4 linked regions of the Caenorhabditis elegans genome follow. The protein of the gene in region 2 purifies or fractionates together with the protein of the main gene of each other region. This does not show direct contact. Each region holds a gene or a part of one and is shown on either strand. Other genes may lie near its edges. The genes, in order: bli-1, dpy-11, nduc-2 and mtch-1.

Region 1 (5,355 bases), on a different chromosome or scaffold from region 2:
AACTTTTCAAAATACTCAAAAAAATATTGTGTGGTTTTCCGAGCGAAAAGACAAAAAATCGGGAAAAGATTTTAACCGACCAAGGAAATTTTCGATTTTCTAAATAACCAAATTTTTATTTAAAAAATGCCGTAATAACATTATTGATAGGAGATTCAATATTCATGCTATGGTTTTAAAAATTTTGGATTTTCGGATTTTTGAGCACTTGAAAAACTAAAATTTCCTTTTTTGTTGATATTCTGGAAAACTGAAAATCGAAAAATTAATTATTTTGGTCCCGAGAAAAACTGAAAAATGCCTAGCCCTAATTTAATTTTAATTCCCATCTTTCCAGATATACCTCGGCCGGGAAATCCCTTCATGTCTTCGCAACAATCAGCCCACCGACCTTATCTTCTGCGGTTTTCCCAACTCTCCGCTTCTTCCGATTTGGCTTCTCTCGTATCCAAGTTGTAGTACAGTGTCGCATTTCAATCCAATTAATAAAACAATTCAACATGAAAGGTACGATTTATTAACATTCTTTCATTATTATGGCAAGTGGGGGAAGGGGTGAAAATAAATAAAAAATCAACAATAAGTTAGACTAGAAGTTTTTTTTAGTTATTAAACTAGAAACTTCTCATAATAGTGGTTCCTGTAAAAGCGATTTCTCCTTCTGTATGGAATTTGTTCTGATGGTAGTGGGTTTTCGTTGGAAAAAGCTCTTTTCTCGGATGACTGGAAGTTGTCATGTACAGGTGGAACTGGCTTTTCTTCTGCAGAGGATTCAGGTTTTACTTGTTGCATTGGTACGGAAGTTTCAACTGCAATTGAATTTAATTTAATGATAATTTCCGCATAACAATTCTACCTGGAACTTGTCCTCCATGCTCTCTCGAATTCCTGAGTTCCTGGCTCTTTCTATGCTCTTCCCATTGTTTTTCTTGGAACTTATTAGGCTTCTTGTGGTGTTTTTCCTGCAATTTATAGTTCTTTTATAGAAATAATCATCACAATATCACTTACCATTGCTCTTTCTTTATCCTCTTCTGGTTTTGAAATATCCTCATACTCTGGCTGATTCTTCTTTCTTTTATCTCCATTATATTTCTCAGTTTGTTGCACAGGTGGCATTGCTTCTTCTGAGTAAGTTCTTCCTGTTTCCCTTGGATTTTCCTCAGATTTTGGTCTTCCAAATCCTGGAGGATGTGTCTCTTTCCGTGGAACTTCTTCATAGCGTGGCTCAGCTTCCGTTTCATATCGTCTTGGCTCCTCTTGTCTTGGCTTCGAATCCTCATAAGATGGCTGACGACGATCGTATCCTCTTTCTGGGTGTCTGATGATCTCAACCTTCTTCAGCGGGCGACTTCTTGATGGAGCATCAGTTTCGTATCTTGGCTCATCAACTGGTCGACTTTCCATATATTTTGGCTGCTCTTTCCTGTCATCACCTCCATATCCAGATGAATGTTCATAACCTTGCCTTGGTCTTGGAGCTTCTGGCACATATTCTCTTGATCTTTCAACTTCATAATTTCCTCTGTTTTGTGGTGGTGGTGGTCTTCTGACATATGGTTGCTCTTCTGGGTACAACTCGTGTGGAGTTTGTCGGTGTGGTGGTGGCGGTCTCTTTGGTGGTGGTTCTCTAACTCTCTCTTCGTCTTCATAACGATCCTGTCGTGGTGGAGCAACTTCTGCTGAAGGTTCGTAGTTTGGTCTTCTTTGATGTTCGGCTCCAGAATTTTCATCATAGGTATTAGTACGAACAGTCTGTCTTGGTCTTGGCTCTTCGGCGCGTTCTGAATCGTATCCTCTTGGTCTATGTTCCTCTAGGCCTCTCTTCTCATCATCATTGTATGCATCATTAAAATCAAACTTCGAAGATCGCTTTGGACATGGACAATAACCGCCGTCTGTTCCTGGTGCTCCCGGAGCAGACACTCCTGGTTGGCCATCTGGCCCTGATGTTCCGTCTCTTCCTGGCGGGCCTTGAATTCCTGGGCTTCCGTCTTGTCCATGCTCACCATCAGTTCCAGGATCTCCGTCTCTTCCTGGTACACCCATTACTCCTGGCTGACCTGGAGGTCCTGGAATTGACTTGCATGATTGGCCGTTTCTTCCAGGTAGTCCAGGCTTTCCAGGTGTTCCCGGAGAACCATTCATTCCATGATATCCAGGTGCCCCTGGTGCTCCTGGTTGACCATCTTGTCCGTTCACTCCTTGCTCGCCATCAATACCATCTTCTCCTGGCACTCCTGGTGTACCGTCTGGTCCGCGTTCTCCAGGTGGTCCAATTGGGCACTGTACACAGCCAATTACTGGATCATAAGAAGATGGTTGAACACCAGAATAACCACCATTGAGACCTCGAAGCCCACGTGGCCCATCTTGTCCTGGGAATCCTGGAGGCCCTGGTCTACCACGAGGTCCTGGAGGTCCTGATGGGCAATGATTCGGCTGAGCAGAACATTGATCACATGGATTGCCTCTTGGTCTAGTTCCTGGACGAGGTCTCTGAGGTCCAAATCCAGGGTGTGAACCCCTTTTTCCTGTGGGATATTGAGCAGATGGATTATACGGAGTGGTTGCCTCAATATGTCCATCTGATGTTGGAGGCACTGGTCTCGATGGTTGACGGGTATTAGTTGGATTTGGTGGATTTCGAGTTTGAGTCGGTGGAACTCTTTGTTGTCCTGGAACTGGTGGCGCTGTTGGTACTTGATCCTCTGGATACCCTGGACCATGATTGTTCGGACGACGAGTATTGTAAATTCTAGGCGATGACGGTGGAGTCTGCCCATCTGAATCGTATCCGCCAGAAGGTTGACGAGGTGGTGGAGTGTTTGGTGATCTTGTTGGCTTATATGGCGCGCGGTTGTCTTCAGGATACGTTGGTTGCCGAGTATAGTTTGGCTGAGGTGGATTGTACGGTACACGAGGATTTGTTGGATATCCAGTTTTTGGAGGTGGCTGTGGATTGTACAATGATGTTCTGTTATTCGGACTGCTGTGCGGAGCTGATGTACTGGGAGGCTGTTGAGGTGGATACGGTCTTCTAGAAGACGCCGGCTCTCTACCGTAATTGTCATAGTTTGATCCATGTGGTGGTCTGTAGGTGGATGTCGCAGCTGGAGGAGGTGCACGGAAACCTGAAATAATTATCCTTAAATTTATACTAAAACTTTTATGTGTACCTTGGATAGTTCTGGGCATGGTCGGTGGTTCTGGTTTTCTAGGTCTTGAAGATGGTGGTCCATTATCATTCACAAAATCGTAACCAGATTCATCTTCTGCAGCTTCGGTAGTTGTGGCAGCAGTTGAAGTGGTTGTTGAAGGTGTTGTGGTTTCAGATTGATAAGGGCCTTCAGGCTCATAGGATCTCTTCTCACGATCGTTGTCTTCGGCTTCTCTCATTTCCTCTGGTGTCAATTCGAAAACCATTTCTTCCCAGATATTGTTTGCGATATCCTATAATTTTAAAATAATTTCAATTATGTCTAGAACAATAACTCACCTTGAATTCTACCAACTCTTCCTGTGCTTCACTGTAAAAGTCAGAAATATCGTTTAAAATATACACTGTAGAAATCACAGCTCCTATTGCCAGCAGCAGACAAGCAATCGCCGCTAGTCCAGCCAAAGTGTAGGACTTAACCATGATGAGGTTAGATCACACTACTCTCCGAGACTGCGGAGAGTTGTGTGGAAGACTCTGAAGAAGCGGAGAATGAGTACTGATTGAGAACAAAGCGAAAACGGAACGAGGTAATGCTTATAAACGGAACGATGACGACGACGACATGCTATATCATAACCTTAACGACATTCAACTGACTGCCTATAATCATTCGGGACGATGATTTTACTTGAATCATTAAAACGAAACCTACAAGACCGGATTGGGTGGTTTTAGTCTATAGATCTTAGGGTCCAGTCACCGCAGTCTATATGAATGTCAGAAAGGTGTCAGAAGGATGTCTGGATAAGGATCGCTGAATTTGAGAGACGAGCGGCTAACGACGGAGTAGCGTTGTGGATAAAATAGCGGTTATCTCGAGATCCCACTCGTTGCTTTTTCATGATTCCTCCTCCTCCTTCGACCACACCGGGACTGCTTTTTCTGCGGTTTTCTTGACCTGCATCTTACCGTTCTCGATTCGCAGAGTTTTTATGAACGCGTCGAGGTGATAGCGATAATTCAGATATGCGACGACTTGATTATCTTCTCCTATCTTTTCATCAATGTCCGTGCCGCCGCTGACACCAGAATACTAAAAAAAACCATGCGCCGCGTTCGATTTGCTTAGCGAAAGTGATGAGTGAAAGGGAAATAAGAAATCGACGATTATTTGAAAGGGCTCGTGTTGCAAGATCAAATTACAGATAATGAAAATGAGTTTATTCGACAAAAATCTATCAGGAATTTCTACTTTGGTAGGATATATTGCTTTATGCTTGAACGTGACGTCTGGCAGCAACGACGCGCTTTCTGGCGACAACACGCTTCTTGGCGACAACGCGCTTCTTGGCAACAGCACGGTGACGGTTGACAGCAACATTACGGTGACGGAAAACTGCGGCACTGCGAGCTGGGCATGGACAATAAGCGGCGTCAGATCCTGGGGCTCCATCGTTTCCTGGGGCTCCTGGTTGTCCGTCTTGTCCTGGGTGTCCTGGTTGTCCGTTTGGTCCTGGTGGTCCTGGTGGTCCGGCTGGTCCTGGAGTGCTTCCGCTTCCTGGTTGTCCTGGGGCTCCTGGTGGTCCTTGTGGTCCTGGACGTCCGGATGGTCCTGGGAGTCCGCGGGAACGCTGTCCAGATTGTCCTGGGCGTCCTGGGTTTCCTGGGGCTCCGGCTTGTCCTGGAGATCCAGCGTCTCCAGCTGGTCCTGGTGGTCCTGGTGGTCCTTGGCCTCCTCCGTGGGCTGGTGCTCCTGGGTTTCCGTTTGGTCCTTGTGGTCCTGGGTTTCCTGGTGCTCCGGCTGGTCCTGGTGCTCCTTGTGGGCACTTGATGCACTCTTGCTGTTGGTGGTGAGCTGGTCCAGCAACTCCTGGTTGTCCTGGCTTTCCGGCTGGTCCTGGTTGTCCGTCAAGTCCTCTGTCTCCAGAAGCTCCTGGTGGTCCTGGTGGTCCGGCTGGGCAGTTGGAGGCTTGTGGTCCGCAGTTGCATTGGGATTGTTTTTTTTGGCGACGAACGAAGACGCTACGGGCAACACGGGCAGAATCATCATGATTAACCATCGAGTTCCAGGCATCATTAGCAACTCCCTAGAAAAATGAATGCTTTTGAAACAAAGTATTTTTATGGTACTTACTCTGAAAGCTCCGAGCTCACGATGAGCCTCATCAACGAAGGAGTTGATGTCGGTGTAG
Region 2 (5,276 bases):
TAATCTCGTCAACCTAAATTTTCTTTGTCATGCTCGTAATATCTCAAATTTTGTCACAAAAAATACCTTTTTGTATTCCGGGAAGCATAGGATAACTGCGTGCTGAGGTTTTCCGATTGACTCGTCATCAAAGAACAACACATCGACAGTCTTCACGCCACTCACTCCCATTTTTTCGATCATCTAAAAACGGAGGAAGAATTAAATTAGATTGTGTGCGTGTACTGGCGACGACGCCACCGAGACAACGAACCGGATTGATGACACTTGGATTCGATTCGAGCGGAGTCCATGGAGCGGCCATATTTAGACAGTTTTTTTGGTTCTGAAGAAAATATTCAGTAATAAAATCTGTTTATGAAAATCTTCCTATGAAAAATAAATGCAAAGAATTTTTCTCGAACAATAGTTGTTTACGGGTCTGCTCAAAAAAGCCAATCAATAGCATAATATTGTGAATACCCAATGCGCTAATATATTTCTGAATTATCAAAAAAGGTTTTAATTGAATTATGATTTATTAACAACTTTTTTCGTAAAAAGTGAAATATTTGAGAGAAAGCAGAGGACAAAAAAACGGACAAACGGATCAATGCATTGAATGAGGAGCGAAAAGCAGCAGGGAAAGAAGGCGTGACGACGCCAAAGCGAACACACACTCGACCAGCACCGACTGGCTCTCGCAGCAAGAGATGTCGCTTTAATTACGTGTCGTCGTTGCAGAGTCCGAAATGAAATGCGCAGAAGGAGAGAAGCATTGGTGAAAACAAAAGAGACAAAAAAGACGGGAACCCATAGGAAGAAGTGACTTATATATATCTTGGGGGACGGCAATACTTATAATTAACAAATTTTTTAAAATTCAAAAACTTGGGGCAGAGACTGCTGGTTTGGGATAAATATGAAACATTTTGAAGTTTTTAAATTATAATTTGAAATAAAATAACAAGATGCACAAAAGGTAAAACAATTGGGGTTTTTGGAAGTTGCATAGAATTTACTTGGTCTTCTTCGTTTCTTTGCCATTATTGTTATTTCCATTTTTCTTTGTCGGAGATTCAGTTCCAGAATCTGAAAATAAATAAATTTTTAGAAATCAGAATCCGAATATTTTAAAGTACCTTTCTTTGCGTCTTTCTTCTCGGTTTTCTTGGCTTGTTGGCTTTTTCTTGGTCCAGTAGGGAATACTTGGTCGATGATGATAACGATGAACTGGAAATCACGATGTTTACAGAAATTTCTATTTAAAAAACTCACGAATCCAAGAACACATCCGAGAGCAAGAGTAACTCCGGCGAAGAGTCCGTAGCTGGCCCATGATGGGATTCCCTTATCTTCGACGAGATGGTTGTGCAAGTCACGAACCGACATCGAAAGTTTGAAGAAGACGGCAACGACGGCCATTCTGAAAAAAATTATAATATTATTTTTGCTGTGCCACAAAAAAGCGTACTGCTTAGAGTTTGGATGCTTGTAGTCTGGAACTGGGTCGATCACACGGTATTTCTTATCCTCGACGAATGAAATGAAGTCATTCTTGTCACGAGCTCCAGAATATTGACGGAAGACACCATCCTTGACGCTGAAAAAAAAAACGTTCGATTTTTGTAGAAATAAATAGCTTTCAAAAACTCACTGATAAATTGTTGGGAGAGCTGTGACAAGGAATCTACCGGAAAGTCCTGGATTGACGGTAACATCGACTTCTCCAACCTTGATTCCAAGATCATCAGACCAGTCGGCGAATGCGTTCCATGCTTTTTGAAGATCCTTGCAAGCTGGGCACCATGGAGCATGGCTGGAATTTTAAAAGTTATTTTTTTCAAATGATCTAGACCTAACTCTTCTATAGCTATTTAGAAAGATTCTAATAACCAACAGTGAATTCAAATTATGAAAAGATTCTACTCTATATCTTTTCATATCATAGGTACTAGTAAGATGGAATTTAATTGAGATTTTCATCTCGGCGGATTTTTAAAAATTTATCAGTTATCAATTTTGTAGTTTTGTAACTAATTAAAATGTTTTTAAAGTGTATGCTTGAGAACCTTAGTAGTTAATTCTACCAAGTACAAACTATATACATTGTTCCAAATTGGAGCTTTCAATGAAACAACTTACAATTCAATCATCCACTCTCCCTTCATAAGATCTGTCCAGTTTTCCTCATTGAGAAAGACGAGCTTGGAAGATCTGGTAGGTCCCCCCGAGACTCCAACGGCGAAAAGTCCGAGCACGGCGAGCAATCGGAGCAGCATTCTGGAATTGACTTGTTTTATAGATGTCATAGAGTGACCAGGAAGGATGATGAAGAATTGAAGGAATGTAGAGAAACATAGAAAGCGGAAGATTGAAAACGAAAAGCAGCGCCTATGGTGTGAAGAGAAGACACAAGAGGAAGACGTCGGTCGGAGTGAAGGGATATATCTCGGCGGCGGGGTGTACGGTCGGCAGACACGCACACACATTATCGCCGTCGCCGCAGTTCGTTTTGCAGTTCGAAAAGAGAAAAAAGAAGGCTACCGGTTTCATCTTGTTCTTAAGCCACGTATTACTAGCCATCTTCTACAGGAAAAAAACCAAAAAGAGACAACTATCAAAACATCAAGAGTAGACCAACTGAGCCTGTACACAACTTGCAGAATAGCGGGGAAATAGTATGATTCTGTAATGCCAATGCAAATATATTTATTTGCAAATACCAAATACCCACAGATTGTTTGTCTAACAGAAAATATGAGCGTTAATGCTCATGTCGAAATTATAAAGGCCCACTTTTTTTCAGTAATCAAATTATGCAAGTCATATTGTCCATTTTGGAATTGCGAAAAAATAATCGGCTTATAATATTTTTGCTGCCCTCACAGTTACAGATCAATAATTAATTTCTACAAAGAAAAAGAAACAAAAATGGGTAGATATCTTGTATCCAGAGCATGTATTAAAAAGAAGGTGGAAGTCGCATCGTCCGCGCTCAAAGGGTCAAGGATATTCCCCCTCCAGTATGTAGGTACTGTCGTACACTCACCCATACACACACACTAAAAACAACTTATCTCTCTCTTGTCTTCCCGTATTCGTTGAAACACGCCGATCCGCAATTATTGATCGAGTTGTGAAGTGGATAACTAGATTACTAGGTCTTCCTGCTGACGTTTATTAATGAATAGCGTCTGTGATAGCGACTAATCGGTCAATTAAAAAAAACCGACGCGGCGAGCTGATTTGGGTCAAATTATGGTGAAGATCAACAAGCCAATCGATTTGACTATTAGGTTACTTTGCCAAGATAAGAAAATGAGATTTAAGAAGTGAAATAGGAGAAAGAAAAGATTAAAACAAAACTCTAAATTATTTAGAAATTTGTTTTTAGAGAAGCCTCAAACATGGAATAAATTCCAATCCTACTATTGTGGCAAATTTTGATTTTAAAAAATGAAAAAAAAAGCATGGGAAGTTTTTTAATATCGTAATTTAGGGAAAAAGTCAAAAGTCACTTAAAGGCACACGCTGTTAATCTGAGTGGGTCTCGCCACGATCGTGGTAGCTATAAATGCCAAAATTCACAACATTTTCACCTAGTCTCACTATTTTAAAAGTGAATTTTTTCAACGAAAAGTAGTTGCTTCTGCAAAAACTGATATTTACAAATTTGGAACAATTGGTCAAGTACAAATTTACACAAGGGATATTCAAAAGATTCAGAGATAAACTTTCATTAAAAATTGTTTAAAAATTAAAAAATGATTTTCTTTAGTCAATTTACTATTACTACTGCGACTATGCATTTAAAATTCGTTTAATTATTTCTAGATCTTCTATTTAAGTGCACAGTCTAAAAAGTTGCATAAATTTAATTCTAAAAAAGCAAACATCTCTGTTTCAACGATCAAAATGGGAGGAAAAAGCCATAGAAACGCCTGGGGACAGGTCGTTATCCAACACGGAAGGAATAAGGATTGCTGGAATGAATGGTCAACACACCGCCTCTTCCTCGTACCCTCATTTCGCTACTTCTCGCGATTCTCTCGCCTAGAACCTGCTTTCTGTACAGATGATTTGTCTTCTTCTTTATTCTTGCAAACCCATATCCTCCACGTTGGCAGATTGATTGCTAGCTTCCAGAAATAAACAGATATACGAAATCAGAAACGAGTCACAAGTTATTTCGAAAGATAGATTGAAACAATTCGATCCGAAGATGCAATAAATTCATTGTTCAATAACTGAATACATAATACATTTACAAAAACGACAAGACGGCCTACTTCTTTTTTTACATTTTAAGTTTAAGGGAGCGGTTGGGAAATCGTTATAATTTATGGGGAAAATTTAGATGTTGGCATCATCGCAAGCCTTTAGAGCATCATCTCTCTCCTCCTCGAGTTCCTTGGTGGTAGCAGCGATCTTTCCCTTGGCAAAATCGTCGAAGCTAAGACCTTGAACAATCTTCCATTCGCCACCCTCGATGGTAACTGGGAATGAGAAAATGAGTCCTTGTGGGATTCCGTATGAACCATCGGATGGGACAGCCATGGAGACGAATTGCCCCTGGAAAATAAAATCTTCATTCAAGTTTTAAAATAATTAAACTTACAGCCTTGGTTCCGAAATGCCAGTCGTGGATGTGATCACAAGCGGCCTTAGCGGCAGACATTGCAGACGAGAGCTTTCTCTTCTCAATGATGACTCCTCCACGCTTTTGGACAGTGGCGATGAATGGTCCTTGAAGGAAAGCGTTGTCTCCGACAGCGGCGTAAGCGTCGGTCTCAGTTCCGTTCTTGTTAACGGTAGCGTGGGTGACATCTGGGAATTGAGTTCCAGAGTGATTTCCCCAGATGATAACGTTCTTGACATTTCCGATGGTTGTTCCGGTTTTAAGGGCGAGTTGAGCAAGAGCACGGTTATGGTCCAATCTGGTCATGGCAGAGAAGTTCTTGGCTGGGATCTTTCCGGCGGCGTACTTGGCAGCAATGAATGCATTGGTGTTGGCTGGGTTTCCAACAACGATAACCTGAAAGTAATGGAAATATTGAAAGTTTAACTGTGAATTCTGATCTCACCTTGGTGGTTGGCTTGGCATACTCAGCAAGAGCCTTTCCTTGTGACTTGAAGATCTTGACGTTGGCAGCAAGAAGATCTTTGCGCTCCATTCCCTCGCGTCTTGGCATGGCTCCGACCAAGAAAGCGTAGTCGATACCGGTGAAGGCCGACTTTTCATCAGTGACAGCAACAACGCTGAAAAGGGTTGGAAGAGCACAATCCTGGAGCTC
Region 3 (4,881 bases), on a different chromosome or scaffold from region 2:
ATTGTTGTATATATATCACGATCATGTGAAGCCGATGGAAATTTGGAAATGGTGTTTTGTAATCTTTATGGACTGCAAAAAGATTGCAAATTAATCTTAGAATATTACACATTTTTTTGTAATATTTTTAGATTTCAGAAAGATTGCGAACCAATCTCAAAAGATTGCTATGTCATCTCAAAATATTACGAATTTTTCGTAATATTTTCAGATTCAGAAATATTGCGAATCAACCTCAAAATATTGCGAATTATTCTCAAAAGATTGCTCAATCTAAAAAGATTTCGAATAAGTCTCGGAATATTGCGATTTTATCTTGAAATATCACCCAACTACAAAAATATTGCTATTTAATATTTTCATATTAGATTTGAGTTGCCTGAGAAAATCAGTGAAAAAAACCACCGAACTGAAAACGAAAAACCCTTGAATTTGGGTCCAGAATTCAGCGCGAGCTTCTGTTTTCGAACGTCTTCAAGGAAATTTTGAATTGTTTTAGTTTGCCGGTTACTCGTCGAGAACGCCAGAAATTCTTCTGAAAAATTGAAGAAAATTATCGATTTTGTTTGTTTGAGGCGGGGAAATTTCTTACGAAGCCGGTCGATTTTCTGCGAATCGACGGATTTTTTCGCTTCCAAATCCGATTTAATTTCCGCCATTAAATTATCGATTTGTGCTCCTTCAGATTTCGATAAACATTCTTCAGTTTGCACTTTTCGTTCTTCATTTCTTTGTTCCAGTTTTGCAATTAATCGATCTTTTCGATCCAATAAAATTTGTTCCGAAGATGCTTCCATTATGCTGAAATCTGGCGTTTTTTTGCGCGATTTTTGTGGCAAAAAACTGGTCTCGCCACGACAATTTTGAGTTTTTTTTTAAATTTTTGATCGATTTTTCATAGTTTTTTTTTCAGATTTTATAGAAATTTATGTGTTTTTATTCTAGTTTCGTTAAAAAAATATGCAAAAATTCTCATAAAATGTGAGAAAAACTATAAAAAATCAATAAAAACCACCGGAACAAAAGTTTAAAACTACAGTACTTTTTAAAGGCGCATCCCTCTTCGCATTTAACACAAATTGTCGCGTCGAGACCCAGGATATAGTATAGTATTTTTGCCCCAAAATTGCTTCTGGGTTAATTAGTTATATTCAAAACGGCTCAAAAGACCAGATGGATGCTGAAAAATGAAAAAAATGAGAATTTTCCGGGAAAAAAATCAATAATTCTTCATTTAATTTACAATAATGAACTAAAAAGAGACTTCGAGAGAATTGTTCAGTCGTATCTGGTGTACTGGGTTCTGCGTGGATACCATGGAAGAAGAACTTGAGAGAATGAACGTCCACTGCCTGAAAAATAAATAGATTCCATGAATTTTTGATGATTTTCTTGCATTTTTCACTAGAAAATCTTCCGTTTTCCCAGAAATTTTGAATTTTTTAGCCAGAATTCCCTTTTTTTCGCACTAATTTCCAAAATAATTACTTAGAATTGCGAAAAAAAAACTGAATTCTAGTCCAAAATTCAAGTTTTCTGTGATGTGTCGATTTACGCAGCTCGTGTACTCCTCGAGGAGAAGATTAAGCTGAAATGCGCCATTTTCACTATTTTTTTTCTGAATTTAACATAAAAATCGGTGATTTATAGTATTTTACATGAACAATGACGAATTTACTGTTAAAAAATACGAAAAAACCGATAATTTGTAGTTTTCCATGGTGTTTTAGGCTAAAATCGGTTTTTCACGCCAATTTTTGCTATTTTTAAGATAAAAATCATTGATTTGGGTGTTTGAATGCAAAAATTGGTCCGAAATCGAGCATTTTAGCCAAATCTTCTCCTTTTCAGCGTTTTTTTTTCGGGGAAAATGTATATATTTTCTGCATTTATCACAGAAAATCGCGAAAAATACGGTATTCTCTGGGGGGAAAAAGCCGAAATCTTTCAAATTTGATCGAATTCAGCCGGGTTTTTTTTTCGAAATTGCAGTAAAATCTGAAAATCGATTTTTCAGCAAATTCCAAAACTCACGATCATTAAAATGGTCGAAATCCTCTGGATGAAGCTTCATGTAGTGCTCGATGACTGCGTCTCTCGTCTGATAGTGTCTCTCTCGAAGTGCTCCGGCAGCGTATCCGGCGGCGGTGGCGGCTCCGATGAGCAAAAGCCGTGGAACAATTGCGTAGTAGTACGGCTTCTTGTTCCATCGATTTTGCAAATAAACCGAAGCCAGCGAGATTCCGAGCATTGCACTGGCACCCTTCAATGGGTAGCTCCATGTGAATGGATCGGCCAGGTGACGAGCTCTGTGTCCTGCGCGAATAAAGGTCTCGCGGCGCTCGATTTCCTTCTCGCTGACGCGAGTTGAGTCAGCCATGGTTTCCACTGAGAAAATTATTTATTTGGGGGAAATATGATTTTTAAAAAAAATGAGATATTTCAAGCGTCTCATAACGCCATAAGAAATAAAAGTGTTTAAAATATTTTACAAGTGACACTTTTTATCGAATATCAGCACTAATAAAACGCCTGTTCTCGAATACAATCGAACAATCTCATTTAGCGATCGAATTTAGCTGGGAAACGTCCCTCGGAAAGAAGCTCGTCCCATCTCTCGGTCCAGAATCCGGGGCAGAAGTCCTTGTAGACATTTTGGAAGAACTTGCACGGCTTGTAGTCCTGTCCCATGAGCTCATTGCAACGATGGAAATCGACGTAGTAGGCGAAGCATTGACGTTGCTTACGGACCTGAAAACTTGTACATTTTTATTATTAATTAATATATAATAAATTTTAAATAAAGTTACCAACCTGTGGGAATCTGGCGTCGTATGGAGCAGCCCAGAGAAGATCCTTCTTCACAGACTCGTGGGTCTCCTTCTTGTACCAGTCTGGCGAGTCTGGATGACGGAGAGCATCGGAGAACTTCTCCTGTAAATTTTTATCGATAAAAATGAAGAAAAACGCTAAAAATTCACCTTGTATTGCTGGAGTCTCTCGTAAGTGGTTGGGGGAACCTCAACTTCGACAGGCATTACTGAAATTGAATATAATTGAAATTTAAACACGGGCGGTTATTTTCAAAGCTCAGAAATCCGTGAAAACCGAATTAAACAATATTTAAAATCAATAAAAATTTTTCACTAAAGACGCTGCGCGAGCCACACACTCCTATACACCTCTCACGCACAAAACGCTCCACAATGGGGTTTTGCGTTGGAGCGCACTTGCTGCATTATTTTTTTACATAACAAAGTTCTAGAAATCAAAACAAATAGATTTTTTTCCAGAAAAATGGCTGAAAACTCGTATAAACCGCCGGAAAAGATGATTAAAAATGTGTTCGACCTGAATCCGTGGTACTTTTCCAAGGTAGAACAGAAATTTTATCGATTTGAAGGATTATGAATGGAAATTTGCAGGCTTACGAGGAGTACCTGGCTTTCTTGCATCGTTTGAATGATTCTGTAGTTGGAGTTCATACAACTGCAGACATGAGATGCACAGACTTGGTTATCAGCTTTATCGACATGCTGGATAAGCTGGAGGTTCGAGAAATTACGGAAAATTACGAAAAACCAGATTTAAAAAAATAAAAAATGGATTTTTTTCAGAAATGGGCTGAGGAAATTCCTCTGGAAGATGTTTCCGAGCAAAGATTTGGCAATAAAGCTTACAGAAAGTTTTATGAGAAGCTTTGCAAGGTTTTTAGCTCAAAAATGTATTTAAAAAGATTTTAAAAATTCCAGGAATCCCCAGATCTCCTAGCCAGCGTTCTTCCGGAAAACGTCCACGATGCTCTAGTCGAACTGGTTCCATATTTCACAGAATCCTTCGGAAACGCCACTCGAATCGATTACGGCTCGGGACACGAGGCGAATTTCCTAATTTTGCTGTTTTGCCTGCAAAAGTTGGGCGTTTTCACAGAAAATGATGACAAAGTGCTCGTTCTTCGCATTTTTAACAAGTATTTGAGAGTGTGCCGTCATCTGCAGACCAGATTCAAGATGGAGCCGGCTGGAAGTCGTGGAGTTCATGCGATTGACGATTTTCAGTTCGCGCCGTTCATTTTTGGAAGCGCTCAGCTTATTGGTAATATGTTGGAGCAACTAGAAGTCTTGAAATTCAGGAAAATAGCTGAATTTTCCATTAAAAACTCAAAAATTCTCAAGAAACCACAATTATTAAGTCGTTTTCCGAAGAAAAACCGACTTATTTTCACAGATTGTCGGAAAATTCTATCTAAAATGTCTTTTTTCACAGTATTTGTTCAAAAAACGTTCATTTTTCAAGGATTTTTCATTCGAAATCATGCATTTTTCCGTTTTTTCGTTGAAAATCATCAAATTTCACGATTTTTGTCGAAAAATCACAAATTTTTGCGATTTTTTTTAAATAAAAAATCAACAATTTTCCCGATTTTTCATTAAAAAATCATCACATTTTTGCGATTTTTGCCAAAAAATCATAAATTTTGGCAATTTTCCTTTAAAAATCATAAGTTTTCACAATTTTTCATTGAAAAATCCTCAATTTCTCCGTTAAAAATCATCAATTTTCGCGATTTTCCTATTAAAAATCCGGGAAAAATCGTTTAAAATCTTCAATCTACAACATTTCCTCGTAGGAAAACTTCAAAAAAAGCTAGTTTTCACTAAATTTCCTGTGAAACTTAAAAAAGGCACCGAAAATGACAAAAAAAAATTTTTCTACAATTTTTCTAGAAAACCCCGCTTAAAAGCATATTTCTGTGAAAATTTCAGAAAAAAAATTATAAAATTTTACTAGAAAATCACCTAAAAATCTAGTTTTCTACCAATAAATTACAAAAAAAAAAACTTTTGAATTTCCAAAGCTTATATAGGCCTGAAATATGTT
Region 4 (5,094 bases), on a different chromosome or scaffold from region 2:
ACAACACGTTACCGACAGAAACGAATAGAAAAAATGAGTGTCTCGGAAGAAAAGAAAGAAGCAGTCCATTGCAAGCCAATTGGAGAAGAGTCACTTTTAGACAGCGAAGAAGATTTTGATTTTACATCCTCACCCCACTAGCTAATCAGTTGCCTTATCTGAAAACAAAATTTGAAAAAGATTACACTCAAAATAAAAAAACAGCGTGGCGTGTACTGCAGAAAACCTCATATTTAGGCCCCGCCTTTTTCTCGTCCACTCACGGACGAAAAGGCAAAAATTTGGCTCAAGCTAAGACTGTTTCTGATCACAAAATGTACAACTTCATGCCCATCCCAATTTCAAAACATCAAAAAATTTCAAAGTAAGCTCACGTGATCGGACTTTGCTTTCAAGACGTAGCCAAAAAGAAGAAACCAAAGAAGGGGAAAAGAGGCGACATATTTACTATCAGTGAGTTTTCAAAGCTTCATATCTCCAAAACCCCTGTGTTATCGTATTACAAAACACAATGTTGCAGTTGCGAAATTGAGAACAAGAAAGTTCTAGCACATTCTAGAACTCCTTTGAATTTTCGAGAAGTTTCCAGAGCATTTTTACTTAGAAAATTTGAATTTTCCTCCAGTTTGTGATTATGTCTCAAAATGGACATGGCCAGTGGGATTCTTCTTGCCAAAGATCTACTATGTAGAAACATAAAACAGCGCTTCATATCTAGTAAAATGATGATACAAGATCATATATTTTTCAGAATGCCGATATGAGATTTCCAACGAACACTCGTTCGAAGTTCATAGTCAAGGTGAAATGGGTCCAGAAATAGAACGGAAGTCGCATTTAGCGTATCAAGTCGCTCGTTTCGAAGCAGTTGCTATGGGCTTCCCGGTGCAATATAGACAAGTTGTTGTCGAATTCTACTATCATGGCCGATTGGATGGATCATCGGGTACCCTGGCGACTGCGGTTGGGTTGTTGGCTCTCTTCACAGGAGTTGAGATATCACCCCGTTTTGCCATCACGGGTTCTCTTGATGTTTTCGGTTGGCCCCCATATTGTTGCCTTTTCTCCGTGAGTGGACGAGAAAAAGGCGGGGCCTAAATATGAGGTTTTCTGCAGTACACGCCACGCAGTTTTTTTTATTTTGAGTGTAGTTTGTTTACAAAAAAAAACTATAAAATTTTAAATTGTAGATTTAACTTCATCATAGGATAACGCTAAAGCTAATAAATTACGGGACACATGTTGAAATTTAAATCGAAAATCTAAAGTACGGGTTTGGATTAAAGGAACATTTTAGTTCTATGAGATTTGAGTCTAAAACAACCGATGATTGGTATATGAAAAGGGATTAGCAAAACTCGAAAAATACATTATAGCGAAGATTGGATGAAGTTGGGGACGAAAATCTTATGCAAAGTAAGAGTTGCTAGCGTAAAGTTGTTGATCCACGCCGACAGTGACAGCTCCCACTTGTTCACGAAGGAACAGGCGGTTTCCACGCTTGAGACCAATTGGGCGAAGGTAGTCCCATGCTCCATGCCAGTTGTTGAAGGATGGTGAATATGGGAGGAACGAAACGGCTAGTCCTGAAATAATCTTTTATTTTAAAAGATACTGTTATTCGCATGCTTACCTGATCCAGCAACAGCCATAACAGTGGATACAACACTGTATGGGTAGCCGAAGGAGTTGACGAGGAATGGAACAGCAGTATGGATGAACTTGTGAACATCCTTGGCAGCCTTGGCTTTCGTTTCGTCCTTATTCTTTGTGTCTCCAAATTCAATGCGGAGAATAGCTCTTTGAATTCCGTGAGTAATTAGATGAACTCCCCAAATGACGAGAAGCTCTCCAACGATCTGAGGAGCAAGTCCGCTGAAAAGTCCTCCTGGACCTTCCTGCTTTCCGATGACGGCCAGAGCCTGGGCGCAGGTAGTGTATTTAGTTTCATTGCCAATAACTTGAGCAACTTGACGAGCAAAGCAGACTGGAAGAGATTATTATACAGTTTAATCGCAAATAATTTAACTTACCAGCAAATGGTCGTGCAGCAGTAACAGCAACAACACGAATGACAGAATCGCGGAATCCGTTACGAATAACTCTTCGGAATGATTCAGCATCGGTGAGTTCATCCTCTTCTTTATCTTGATTTAAAAGAGGTCCTCCAATATTGGGGTAGTACTCGTCGATGTACTGTAAGATAATTTTTTACGGTTTTCAGGAACTTTCAATGAGAAAACTGTTTACCTGCTGAGTGCGGTGAGAAGCAATACCCTGAACAGCCAAAGCAGCGATAGCAGAGTCGATTCCAGTCCAAAGGGTGATATATCCACGAGTAGTTCCCAATTGCTTCACTAAATTTATGATCATTACCGAAGATTATTTTCGTGAATCCTACTATAGCTGAAGAAGTTAGGAAGGAAATACGCATTTCTTCCTGCAATGACGAGAGTCTTTCCTGTAGACAATGGGAACGGTTCATGACCAAGCTGGATAAGGGTACGTGTCACGGTCAAAGGAAGCGACAACGAGCTCAAAGCGAGCTTGGCAATAAGACTCTTGGCGAATTTCTCCTGTAAAACTGAATTTCAAATCTATTTCAATAAGACTAAACTCTCATCTTCTGGAGCAAGCCCAAGGAAAGCGTCTTGTTGATTTCCTTCAGCCATGATTCACTGAAAATAATTAATTTAATAACAAATGAAAATACAAACTAATATTTTGGGTTAACTATAGTTATATTCATAAAAAATAGCAATCAGACATTAAATGAGAAAAATCGAAGATAAAAAAAATGAGCGGATAAACAATAAACATTCGCCGCACAAAAAAGTGGGCGGAGACTGAAACGCAATGTGTGCGCACGTTATCTCACTCCTCTTTCTGTGTAAGAATTGCAGAATTTTTTGTCTTAAAAACAATTTTCTGATAGTTGAATAAATTTCCGTCAGTTTTATTGTTTTTCACTTAAATCTCACTGTCACTGATCTAAAAAATATTTTTAGAAAATGTCTTCCGGTGGAGGAAATCAAAAGTCAGATGGACAAGTCGAGGAAGATGCCGCTGAATGCAAATTTCCGAAAGGTATTGTTTTGTTTTTACTGAGTTTTTGAATTTGGTGATTTTTCCTAATCGGTATATTTTCAGAATTCGAAACAACAACATGCGACGCTCTTCTGACCGCTGAGGTTTACTTGCTTCTGGAGCATCGTCGTCAATCGAGTGAAAGCAAAGACGAAATTGAAGAGATGAGCGAGGTAGTCTCAAAACTATTTCAGTCGATTAAATTTATTGATTTATAATATCATTTTTATATTAAACGAATTCAGGTCTTCATCAAAACTCTCAACTACGCTCGCCGCATGTCTCGATTCAAAAATCGCGAAACTATCCGTGCAGTTCGAGCGATTTTCTCCGAGAAGCATCTTCACAAATTCGAAGTTGCGCAGATTGCCAATCTCTGCCCTGAAAATGCCGAAGAAGCCAAAGCACTAGTTCCTTCTTTGGAAAACAAAATCGAGGAGTCTGAACTAGAGGAAGTTCTCAAGGATCTGCAATCCAAAAGAACATTCCAATAAATACAAGCAAACTAATCCCATATTTATCTGTATTCTCAAGTTACTGTAATTGTCCTATGAGATCTCTCATAATGTGTTATTTGATACAATGAAATGAAATTTTGGAAATGTTTATTAATGTTTTTCAAATAATTTGTTCAATCGAAAATGAATACTGGTTTCATATTGTTTTTTTTTGTTGAAAAAATCACACTATTGAACCAGATGGTGCAGAAATTGAGCAGACCGTCTCCAGATTTTCTCAAAGGCCTTAAGAGCATTGTGAGTTTATTTTTCACATTATTTGTTAATGTACTAGAATTTTTCAGTTGCAAGGCGATCATCCTTCTCTCAAGCAGCTCGAACAAGATATAAATATATTTTATATGAATCAAAGACAGGTAGGATGGGAAACTGGTTAATTTTTACCAATTGTAGAGATTTCGCATGTTTATAATTTGAATCCAAATTTTCAGAGCCAATCAATGTTGGAGGAACGAAAGCTTTATGTGGCGTTGGTTCGAAAATACCTGAAATCCGAAGGAGTTACCAAACAACTCGCTTCGCAAGGAATCAAATTGCGTGGACTTAGCGTTTTTGGAAGTTTCCCGACGCACTGTGCCTCGAAAGACAGCGATCTTGATCTGTGTGTGTGTGCGACGGCAACAGGAAATAAAAAACAGTAAGTCGTTTTGCAGCCTTACTTTTGACGATTTATAATAACTTTTGCAGACTGCCGGTAATCATTCTTCAAGCCATTTTTCGAGACATGATGTACAGTAAGGAAGGGCAGAACATTTTTGGAGAGAATGTCGTCAGCGGAATTTCGTTTGTGCAAACGGCAAAGGTTCCGATCATCCGATTCAAAATCAACGATGTGCCAGTTGATTTGAGTGCAACATTCGATGATAATCCTCGAACAAGTCTCGCCGCAAAGTATATCAATGCTTACTGCCAGTAAGATTAATTTCTGGAAATAACACTTATTGAACTAATTTATTCAGACTCGATGATCGCTTCAAAATTCTCGTGATGTTTTTGAAAAAATGGATGAAATCAGAAGGGAGAGCTGAAGATCATTTGCGAATTTACCCCAACTCGTAATTTCTAACCTGCAAAAAGTCAGAGCAAAGTCACCATTTCTTTCAGATACTCGATTATTCTTCTGCTCATTCATGTTTTGCAATGGTATGATATTCTACCGAATCTTCACCAGACCCACAGTGATCTTTTTCATCGCGGCAATTTCAAATTGTCGGACTTGGCGGAACTACGTCACGAGTTCAAATTTCCTCTTGATGAAAACAGTTCGTGATAAAATGATCAATTGAAATAATTGGAATTTAATTTATTTCAGCTATTTCAATGCATAGAAAGAGACCATCGAATGATCTCACTGTTGTTCAGCTTCTCTACCTTTTCGCTTGTCAATACTCCAACCATGTGGTATTGCTGAATTATCGATTCAATATGCGAAATGGTGAAATTGAAGCTCTATCTCAAAAGTGAGTCGTCGTTTTTCAAACTCAAAATA

What was found.
Region 1: the proteins of dpy-11 (region 2) and bli-1 fractionate together in Caenorhabditis elegans (co-fractionation; one large-scale study listed by BioGRID). This does not show direct contact.
Region 3: the proteins of dpy-11 (region 2) and nduc-2 fractionate together in Caenorhabditis elegans (co-fractionation; one large-scale study listed by BioGRID). This does not show direct contact.
Region 4: the proteins of dpy-11 (region 2) and mtch-1 fractionate together in Caenorhabditis elegans (co-fractionation; one large-scale study listed by BioGRID). This does not show direct contact.

What each region holds. Positions count from the first base shown.
Region 1 is NC_003280.10:10,707,302-10,712,656, reverse strand, and holds bli-1 (Cuticle collagen bli-1), read right to left. Parts: upstream 3,698-5,355; 5' UTR 3,644-3,697; coding exon 3,500-3,643; intron 3,454-3,499; coding exon 3,180-3,453; intron 3,135-3,179; coding exon 1,012-3,134; intron 963-1,011; coding exon 857-962; intron 810-856; coding exon 610-809; 3' UTR 508-609; downstream 1-507. Other genes in the region: col-80 (Putative cuticle collagen 80), read right to left, coding at 4,435-5,250, 5,298-5,355; dph-2 (2-(3-amino-3-carboxypropyl)histidine synthase subunit 2), read left to right, coding at 338-507.
Region 2 is NC_003283.11:6,511,085-6,516,360, forward strand, and holds dpy-11 (Thioredoxin-related transmembrane protein 1), read right to left. Parts: upstream 2,263-5,276; 5' UTR 2,262-2,262; coding exon 2,125-2,261; intron 1,799-2,124; coding exon 1,637-1,798; intron 1,583-1,636; coding exon 1,454-1,582; intron 1,406-1,453; coding exon 1,258-1,405; intron 1,213-1,257; coding exon 1,122-1,212; intron 1,072-1,121; coding exon 998-1,071; 3' UTR 501-997; downstream 1-500. Other genes in the region: ubh-1 (Ubiquitin carboxyl-terminal hydrolase), read right to left, coding at 1-13, 67-183, 254-304; mdh-1 (Malate dehydrogenase, cytoplasmic), read right to left, coding at 4,336-4,554, 4,601-5,017, 5,067-5,276.
Region 3 is NC_003281.10:2,784,361-2,789,241, reverse strand, and holds nduc-2 (NADH dehydrogenase [ubiquinone] 1 subunit C2), read right to left. Parts: upstream 2,391-4,881; 5' UTR 2,381-2,390; coding exon 2,035-2,380; intron 1,353-2,034; coding exon 1,279-1,352; 3' UTR 1,214-1,278; downstream 1-1,213. Other genes in the region: tbcc-1 (C-CAP/cofactor C-like domain-containing protein), read right to left, coding at 411-535, 593-797; cox-6B (Cytochrome oxidase c subunit VIb), read right to left, coding at 2,563-2,751, 2,815-2,934, 2,982-3,038; Y71H2AM.20 (Serine/threonine-protein phosphatase 2A activator), read left to right, coding at 3,298-3,375, 3,426-3,551, 3,618-3,707, 3,753-4,095.
Region 4 is NC_003280.10:7,371,495-7,376,588, forward strand, and holds mtch-1 (Mitochondrial carrier), read right to left. Parts: upstream 2,673-5,094; coding exon 2,623-2,672; intron 2,578-2,622; coding exon 2,402-2,577; intron 2,358-2,401; coding exon 2,251-2,357; intron 2,197-2,250; coding exon 2,034-2,196; intron 1,988-2,033; coding exon 1,634-1,987; intron 1,587-1,633; coding exon 1,408-1,586; 3' UTR 1,121-1,407; downstream 1-1,120. Other genes in the region: rpb-4 (RNA polymerase Rpb4/RPC9 core domain-containing protein), read left to right, coding at 3,012-3,087, 3,151-3,260, 3,333-3,581; F43E2.1 (Poly(A) RNA polymerase mitochondrial-like central palm domain-containing protein), read left to right, coding at 3,786-3,842, 3,890-3,961, 4,037-4,242, 4,293-4,517, 4,565-4,660, 4,710-4,867, 4,918-5,065.